Saccharomyces cerevisiae S288C: one gene and its partner. The gene in region 1 interacts genetically with each later gene. Each region holds a gene or a part of one and is shown on either strand. Other genes may lie near its edges.

The links.
Region 2: mutations in KRE9 (region 1) and KRE6 are lethal when combined (synthetic lethality), as found in Saccharomyces cerevisiae (one study listed by BioGRID).

What each region holds. Positions count from the first base shown.
Region 1 is NC_001142.9:93,089-96,659, forward strand, and holds KRE9 (Kre9p), read left to right. Parts: upstream 1-2,003; coding exon 2,004-2,834; downstream 2,835-3,571. Other genes in the region: SWI3 (Swi3p), read right to left, coding at 1-1,442; RFA3 (Rfa3p), read right to left, coding at 3,073-3,441. UniProt on the Saccharomyces cerevisiae protein: Involved in cell wall beta(1->6) glucan synthesis.
Region 2 is NC_001148.4:855,966-860,534, forward strand, and holds KRE6 (beta-glucan synthesis-associated protein KRE6), read left to right. Parts: upstream 1-1,617; coding exon 1,618-3,780; downstream 3,781-4,569. Other genes in the region: YPR158C-C (gag protein), read right to left, coding at 1-292; YPR159C-A (uncharacterized protein), read right to left, coding at 4,349-4,450. UniProt on the Saccharomyces cerevisiae protein: Involved in the synthesis of (1->6)- and (1->3)-beta-D-glucan polymers of the yeast cell wall in vivo. It is required for full activity of beta-glucan synthase in vitro.

The DNA of each region.
Region 1 (3,571 bases):
TTGTCACCATTTTCATCATCAGTGGTACTGGGGGGGTGAGTTATTTCATCATATTTTCTTTTGCTTTCTTTCAAATATTTATATAAAGTACTCTCCGAATCACTAGTGTTCATCATTTTTTTAAGCTTTGCCATATCCGGCAGTTGTACAGATGGTTTGTAACTTTCGAATGGGAATAGTCCTCTGGGGGCATCATGCCTTGTGGAATATTGAGACGTTAGTGGGGGTTCGATGTTCTTAGGTAATAGTTTGGAGTCAACCTGATAGTTTATTAGCCCCCATTTTGTTAAGAATTTATGCAATCTGAATAATGCAGCAGCATCACCAGAGACGTTTCTCCTCGCCGTAGTGACACTGAAATATTCGTTGGGGTTCAGCCTGTAAGAATTTACCATGAAGTTTCTGTATCTCATGTAAACTTCAGGTGTCTTTGATGGAATCCTATTGGTGAAAAATTCAGGTAACGATTGAACTTCAATGGAATGAATTTTTTCTAGATTGAACCATTTAGAATAACTTGGAATAACAATTTCATGTGCTTGCGGTATCTCAAAAGTTTCGGGTTCTACTCTGGTGATAGTGGTTTTCTTTGGATTGGCACTTTTGGAGTGATCGTTCATGATTTCACGTTCCTGTTCGTTTCTCTCTTCGCCACTATCTACCTTCTTATCTACACTTTCCGTCTTTTCTATGATATCCTCCTGTTCAGCTTTATGCGCATCTGGAATTTCAGATGGAGTATTAGCAACCGACGAAGTGTTGCCTAGTTGTTTAGACTCACTCTTTGTGTCTCCAAAAATGGAATTATCAGGACTAATCATCGGTTGATCGTCATCCTCATCATCTTCTTCCACTTCATCCATTTCCTTTGTGTTCTCATCTGGCTGACTTTCTTCTTTGACACCTTCAATAACAGTGTTATTCTCTGGTTCTTCCTCTTTTTGTATTTTGACGTCCTCCATGTTTTTAACGTCACCATTTGAATCCTGTATTGTGCTGTCTTCCTTAATAGCAGGCTTATTGTTTTCATTGTCTACCGGGTTCGTAGGTATACTAGGAGTGTTTGCCTCATTGTTCGAAACAGAACTCTCGGTTTCGCCAAAGAGATTATCACTATCCTCATTATCTTGGCCAAAGACGTTCTGGGCCCTGCTTTCTTCTGTAGAAGGTGTTTCCTGGGAATCTAGCTTATTCGCTTGCATAGTCGGCTGCTGCTTTGCCGTTACCGTTATCGCCTCACTTTCTGCATCGCGTGTGTTCGGAACAGTTGCTTCATCCTTCAGAGACTCATCTTGTTGCTGCGATTCTTCACCAGCAGTATCTGTATTGGCAACCCCTGCCACAGCTGCATTAGCGTTGCTATCACTATTGTTGTCATTGCCATGTTGGTCCACGTCCACGGAAGCGTTTACCGTGGACCCCTCACCCAGTGTATTCTCCATGCTTGCAAACCGTATCACAATTGGTCTCTGAACGCGCCTCGATGTACCAATATATCGCGCCTTGCATGGCCTTTACACATTCCTCTTGCGTATCTGATATAGTTTGTTTTCGTCTTTTCGCCAATGGCCTAAACGCCAAACGTCCGGCCTCGTTATTCGTGATGCCTACTTAATGGCTCTTAAATCGAATTTAAACTAGCTCAAAAGTAATCAATTCAAACTAAAATAACATCATTGGCCATCCTGAATTGTTGGATGCCATCTAAACTGCGTATTGACCATTATTCCATCGTAACCACGGCGGTTCAATATAATATCACTTTTGACGATTAGGTGTTTTATTTACATTTCTTTTTTTTTTTCCTCGAAAAAGATCTTCAAGGATAATACAGGAATAGAACAGGAGTCTCAAAGCATTCTTGAAGCCAGATTTGCTCCAGTTTGATAGTTCCAAGAAGCGCTAAAAGTGGCAGTTCACACTTTGTTTTGATTACTAGGAATCTACTCTTTCGCTTTTTACTTCCTTCTCAGAGAATCAGCAACTGTGACATATTATAGATAATGCGTTTACAAAGAAATTCCATCATATGTGCTTTGGTGTTTTTAGTCTCATTTGTGCTGGGAGATGTGAATATTGTTTCCCCCAGCTCCAAGGCAACATTCAGTCCAAGTGGTGGTACTGTCTCTGTTCCCGTTGAATGGATGGATAATGGGGCATATCCCTCGTTAAGCAAGATTTCAACTTTCACGTTCAGTCTTTGTACTGGTCCTAATAACAACATTGACTGTGTGGCCGTACTTGCCAGTAAAATTACTCCAAGTGAGCTAACACAAGATGATAAAGTTTACTCTTACACAGCTGAGTTTGCTTCGACCTTAACTGGGAACGGTCAATATTACATTCAAGTTTTTGCCCAGGTGGACGGTCAAGGTTACACTATCCATTATACACCAAGATTCCAGTTGACTTCCATGGGCGGTGTTACGGCTTATACATATAGTGCCACAACTGAACCTACTCCCCAGACTTCTATTCAAACAACCACTACAAACAACGCCCAAGCCACTACTATTGACAGTCGTTCATTTACTGTTCCGTACACCAAGCAGACTGGTACGTCGCGTTTCGCTCCAATGCAAATGCAGCCAAATACTAAAGTGACCGCTACCACATGGACAAGGAAATTTGCCACTAGTGCTGTGACATATTACTCTACCTTTGGGTCATTGCCAGAGCAAGCAACTACGATAACTCCTGGCTGGTCTTATACGATATCATCGGGAGTAAACTACGCTACTCCTGCATCTATGCCTTCAGATAATGGTGGTTGGTACAAACCATCCAAGAGATTGTCTTTGTCTGCAAGGAAAATCAACATGAGAAAAGTATGAAAAATAGACGGCTTCTACTATCATCATTACAGTAAGGGTTGAAGTCAGGAAAGGTTAAAAATAAAATAAATATCAAAAAGTTTTTAGCGGAAGGCGTTAAGGCAGCAAGTACACATTCATTTATCTATCTATACATCTATAAACACAACTACAATTTTTTTAGAAATGGAATTTATTATATGAAGGGAAGACATATAGAGGCAACAGTACATAAAGGTAAGAATAAAAGCGATTTTAGCTAGTATATTTCTGGGTATTTCTTACATAGTCTCTGTAAAGCAACCACACCGTTTAAGCTTAAATCTTCGTTCTCCTTGAATTTGCATAGTACAGCGTCTAGAATCAAAAATCCTAGCTCGCCGTCATCATTGTTCCTGCAAACAAACTCATACCACGAGTCGATCTCAAATGTTTTATTCATAGATACACGAATATTGTTCAACGTAATCATTTCAACCTCGCTGCCGTTTTTCGATGATATGGTTGGCGATTGTAAAATCAACTGAGATTCAGTGGGTTGTGATTTGATTTGCGCTATTATCCTAAACACAGGAGCATTGACGTTGGAGATTTCTGTGGGGTCAACTCTTGGTGTTTCGCTGGCCATTTTTACTTGTGTTACTGGTAGACGATGTTCTACAAGAATGGTGAAGGGTGTGTTATATTGCTCTTTATTTAAACACGAACGAAAAAAATATCGCGTATTGCCACATTTGGCGCGTCAATATTAAAGAACG
Region 2 (4,569 bases), on another chromosome or scaffold:
GATTGGCTTGGTTTTGGGTCATCATGCACTGCTGTGGGTACGGCCCATTCTGTGGAGGTGGTACTGAAGCAGGTTGAGGAGAGGCATGATGGGGGTTCTCTGGAACAGCTGATGAAGCAGGTGTTGTTGTCTGTTGAGAGTTAGCCTTAGTAGAAGCCTTCTCACATTCTTCTGTTTTGGAAGCTGAAACGTCTAACGGATCTTGATTTGTGTGGACTTCCTTAGAAGTAACCGAAGCACAGGCGCTACCATGAGAAATGGGTGAATAATTAGATAATTGTTGGGATTCCATTGTTGATAAAGGCTATAATATTAGGTATACAGAATATACTAGAAGTTCTCCTCGAGGATATAGGAATCCTCAAAATGGAATCTATATTTCTACATACTAATATTACGATTATTCCTCATTCCGTTTTATATGTTTATATTCATTGATCCTATTACATTATCAATCCTTGCGTTTCAGCTTCCTCTAACATCGATGACAGCTTCTCATAACTTATGTCATCATCTTAACACCGTATATGATAATATATTGATAATATAACTATTAGTTGATAGACGATAGTGGATTTTTATTCCAACACAAAATGAGATATGTCAGTATGACAATACGTCATCCTGAACGTTCATAAAACACATATGAAACAACCTTATAACAAAACGAACAACATGAGACAAAACCCGTCCTTCCCTAGCTGAACTACCCAAAAGTATAAATGCCTGAACAATTAGTTTAGATCCGAGATTCCGCGCTTCCACCACTTAGTATGATTCATATTTTATATAATATATAAGATAAGTAACATTCCGTGAATTAATCTGATAAACTGTTTTGACAACTGGTTACTTCCCTAAGACTGTTTATATTAGGATTGTCAAGACACTCCGGTATTACTCGAGCCCGTAATACAACAATTTACAACAAGATTCGGGCGTGTGGCGTAGTCGGTAGCGCGCTCCCTTAGCATGGGAGAGGTCTCCGGTTCGATTCCGGACTCGTCCATTTTAATTTTTGATTATGGAATACAAAATGTATATTTCGTATAAAATTATCTTTATTGTTTTTGTGGCTTAGTGATTTTCATTCCCCTCTTTTCTTTTTCCTCTCAGCCTGCAAGTGTGACGCGATCTGAAAGGCGTTTTACCCGCAAAACGCCAAAGAATCATCCTGAAGCGGTAAATTCTAGACTTCAGATCACATACGCTCTATTTGGACAGTTTTTTTTTTTTTTTCATATTCCTGATCAGATGAAAGTTAACGCTATTTTTGGTGAAAACACAGAATAAAACAGCTTCTGATAAAATTTAACTAGGAACGTCGAAAACAACAACCGTTAAAATATTTTTAGCTTACAGAAGCACTTAAGAATCACTAACGTTTTCTTCTTTTTTTATTTTCAGTCCAAAGCTTTCGTATTGCTGCAAGTGCTCGAGAAAGCTGCATATTGTTATTGTATTCGTCCTCTCGTACTAGTGTTCATTACTTTATCGTCTATAAATATATTGTTGTTAGAATTTTTCTACTAAGGCAAGTTAGTAGTTGCACAACATTTCTCTCGTTAAATCATCTAAAGTTTACAGAATAGGTATACCACTCACTCCTTTACTCTAATGCCTTTGAGAAATCTAACTGAAACGCACAACTTTAGTAGCACAAACCTGGACACAGATGGTACAGGCGACGATCATGATGGTGCTCCTCTTTCCTCATCTCCTTCTTTTGGACAACAAAATGACAATAGCACCAACGATAATGCTGGTCTCACAAACCCTTTTATGGGGAGTGACGAAGAATCTAATGCGCGGGATGGAGAATCTCTGTCTTCTTCTGTTCATTATCAGCCACAGGGGAGTGACTCTTCACTACTTCATGACAATTCTCGTCTAGATCTAAGTCAAAATAAAGGTGTATCTGATTACAAAGGTTACTATTCCAGGAACAATAGTAGAGCTGTGAGTACGGCTAATGATAACTCATTTCTTCAGCCACCACATAGAGCTATAGCCTCTTCTCCTTCTTTGAATTCTAATTTATCGAAGAATGATATTCTCTCACCGCCAGAATTTGATAGATATCCCTTAGTGGGTTCCAGAGTCACTTCTATGACTCAACTGAACCATCATGGTCGCTCGCCAACATCATCTCCAGGAAACGAGTCGTCCGCCTCATTCTCTTCTAATCCGTTTTTGGGCGAGCAAGATTTTTCTCCATTTGGTGGGTATCCTGCTTCATCGTTCCCACTTATGATAGATGAAAAGGAAGAAGATGATTATTTACACAATCCTGACCCCGAAGAAGAGGCAAGACTGGATAGAAGGAGGTTCATAGATGACTTCAAGTACATGGATAAAAGGTCTGCTAGTGGGCTAGCTGGTGTATTGCTCTTGTTTCTGGCAGCCATCTTTATTTTTATTGTTTTGCCAGCGTTGACCTTTACCGGTGCTATTGATCACGAAAGCAACACTGAAGAAGTTACATATTTAACTCAATACCAATATCCTCAACTATCCGCCATTAGAACATCTCTGGTTGACCCAGACACACCTGATACAGCGAAGACAAGAGAAGCTATGGATGGCTCTAAGTGGGAATTAGTATTTTCTGATGAGTTTAATGCAGAAGGCAGAACATTTTATGATGGGGATGATCCATACTGGACAGCCCCTGATGTTCACTATGATGCTACTAAGGATTTAGAATGGTACAGTCCAGACGCTTCCACAACTGTGAACGGAACCTTGCAGCTGAGAATGGATGCCTTTAAGAACCATGGCTTATATTACAGATCAGGTATGTTGCAGAGTTGGAATAAGGTTTGTTTCACGCAGGGTGCTCTAGAAATCTCTGCAAATCTACCAAATTATGGCCGTGTTTCAGGTTTGTGGCCCGGTCTTTGGACTATGGGTAATTTAGGGAGGCCCGGTTATTTGGCTAGTACCCAAGGTGTCTGGCCTTATTCTTATGAATCGTGTGATGCTGGTATTACACCCAACCAAAGTTCCCCGGATGGTATTTCTTACTTGCCGGGACAAAAGTTAAGTATTTGTACTTGTGATGGTGAAGATCATCCGAATCAAGGTGTTGGTAGAGGAGCTCCAGAAATTGATGTTTTGGAAGGTGAAACTGATACTAAGATTGGTGTAGGTATAGCCTCTCAATCCTTGCAAATTGCACCTTTTGATATCTGGTACATGCCTGACTATGATTTTATCGAGGTTTACAATTTCACAACAACGACCATGAACACTTATGCTGGCGGTCCATTTCAACAAGCCGTATCTGCTGTCTCAACTTTGAACGTAACTTGGTATGAATTCGGTGAGTACGGTGGCTACTTTCAAAAATATGCCATTGAGTATCTGAACGATGACGACAATGGTTATATCCGTTGGTTTGTTGGTGATACTCCAACTTATACTATTCATGCTAAAGCCTTACATCCTGATGGTAATATTGGTTGGAGAAGAATCAGTAAAGAACCAATGTCGATTATTCTAAATCTGGGTATTTCCAACAATTGGGCTTATATTGATTGGCAGTATATTTTCTTCCCAGTGGTTATGTCGATTGACTATGTTAGAATATACCAACCAAGTAATGCTATATCCGTGACATGCGATCCAAGTGACTATCCAACATATGATTATATTCAATCGCACTTAAATGCATTCCAGAATGCAAACTTAACTACTTGGGAAGATGCTGGTTACACGTTCCCTAAGAATATCCTAACTGGTAAATGTACTAGCTCGAAGTTCAAGTTATCCTCTTAAGCGGGTATTTTGATGGTAAATCTACAAGCCCTCGGCTTTAATTATTACCATGGTCATAAAAAGTTACTTACAATGCATACATTTTTCTTTTAGGAAGAAATAAAATATAAAAGACTTATCGTTCAAATCGGGTCATAAAGGGAACTAAAGGTATACTAAGGTAAGACGGGGTTCTCATCTGCACGTAATTTTTTATTATTTTTAGTGAGGGAGAACTTTACCTCTAAGATTGTTTATATAGGTATACACATTTTTGTAAAACTGATTATTCGTTTTTTTTTTTGAAACAAGTTATTAGTACAAAAATCAAGCTCTCACTACTTACCAGTAGTTATTTTAGTAGAATATTATTAACTCTACCGAATAAGTACGATATGAGAAATTGCTGATTTACTTGTGTGTGTTCCTATTATTATCCAGGAGCGCCTCTAATCTATGCTTATAATTTTACGTTGAAAAAAAAGGAGTCTGTATAATTATTTCAAATTCATCCTTTTCTCACGGATATTGTGTACCCTATGAGGTAAATAATTGCGCTTTATTTTCTCCCTGTGTTTGCTCGCTCATCTTAAGACGAAAAAAGTAATGGAACACCTACCATCAATAGAAGTACCACACTCATGTAAATAACAAGCGCAAGTGGTTTAGTGGTAAAATCCAACGTTGCCATCGTTGGGCCCCCGGTTCGATTCCGGGCTTGCGCAGATTTTATTTTTTGCTCCCTTCTAAAGCTCTGGATGATTCACCAACTTATCCAAGGCAAGGTCCAACTACCGTTTCCTTCGATGA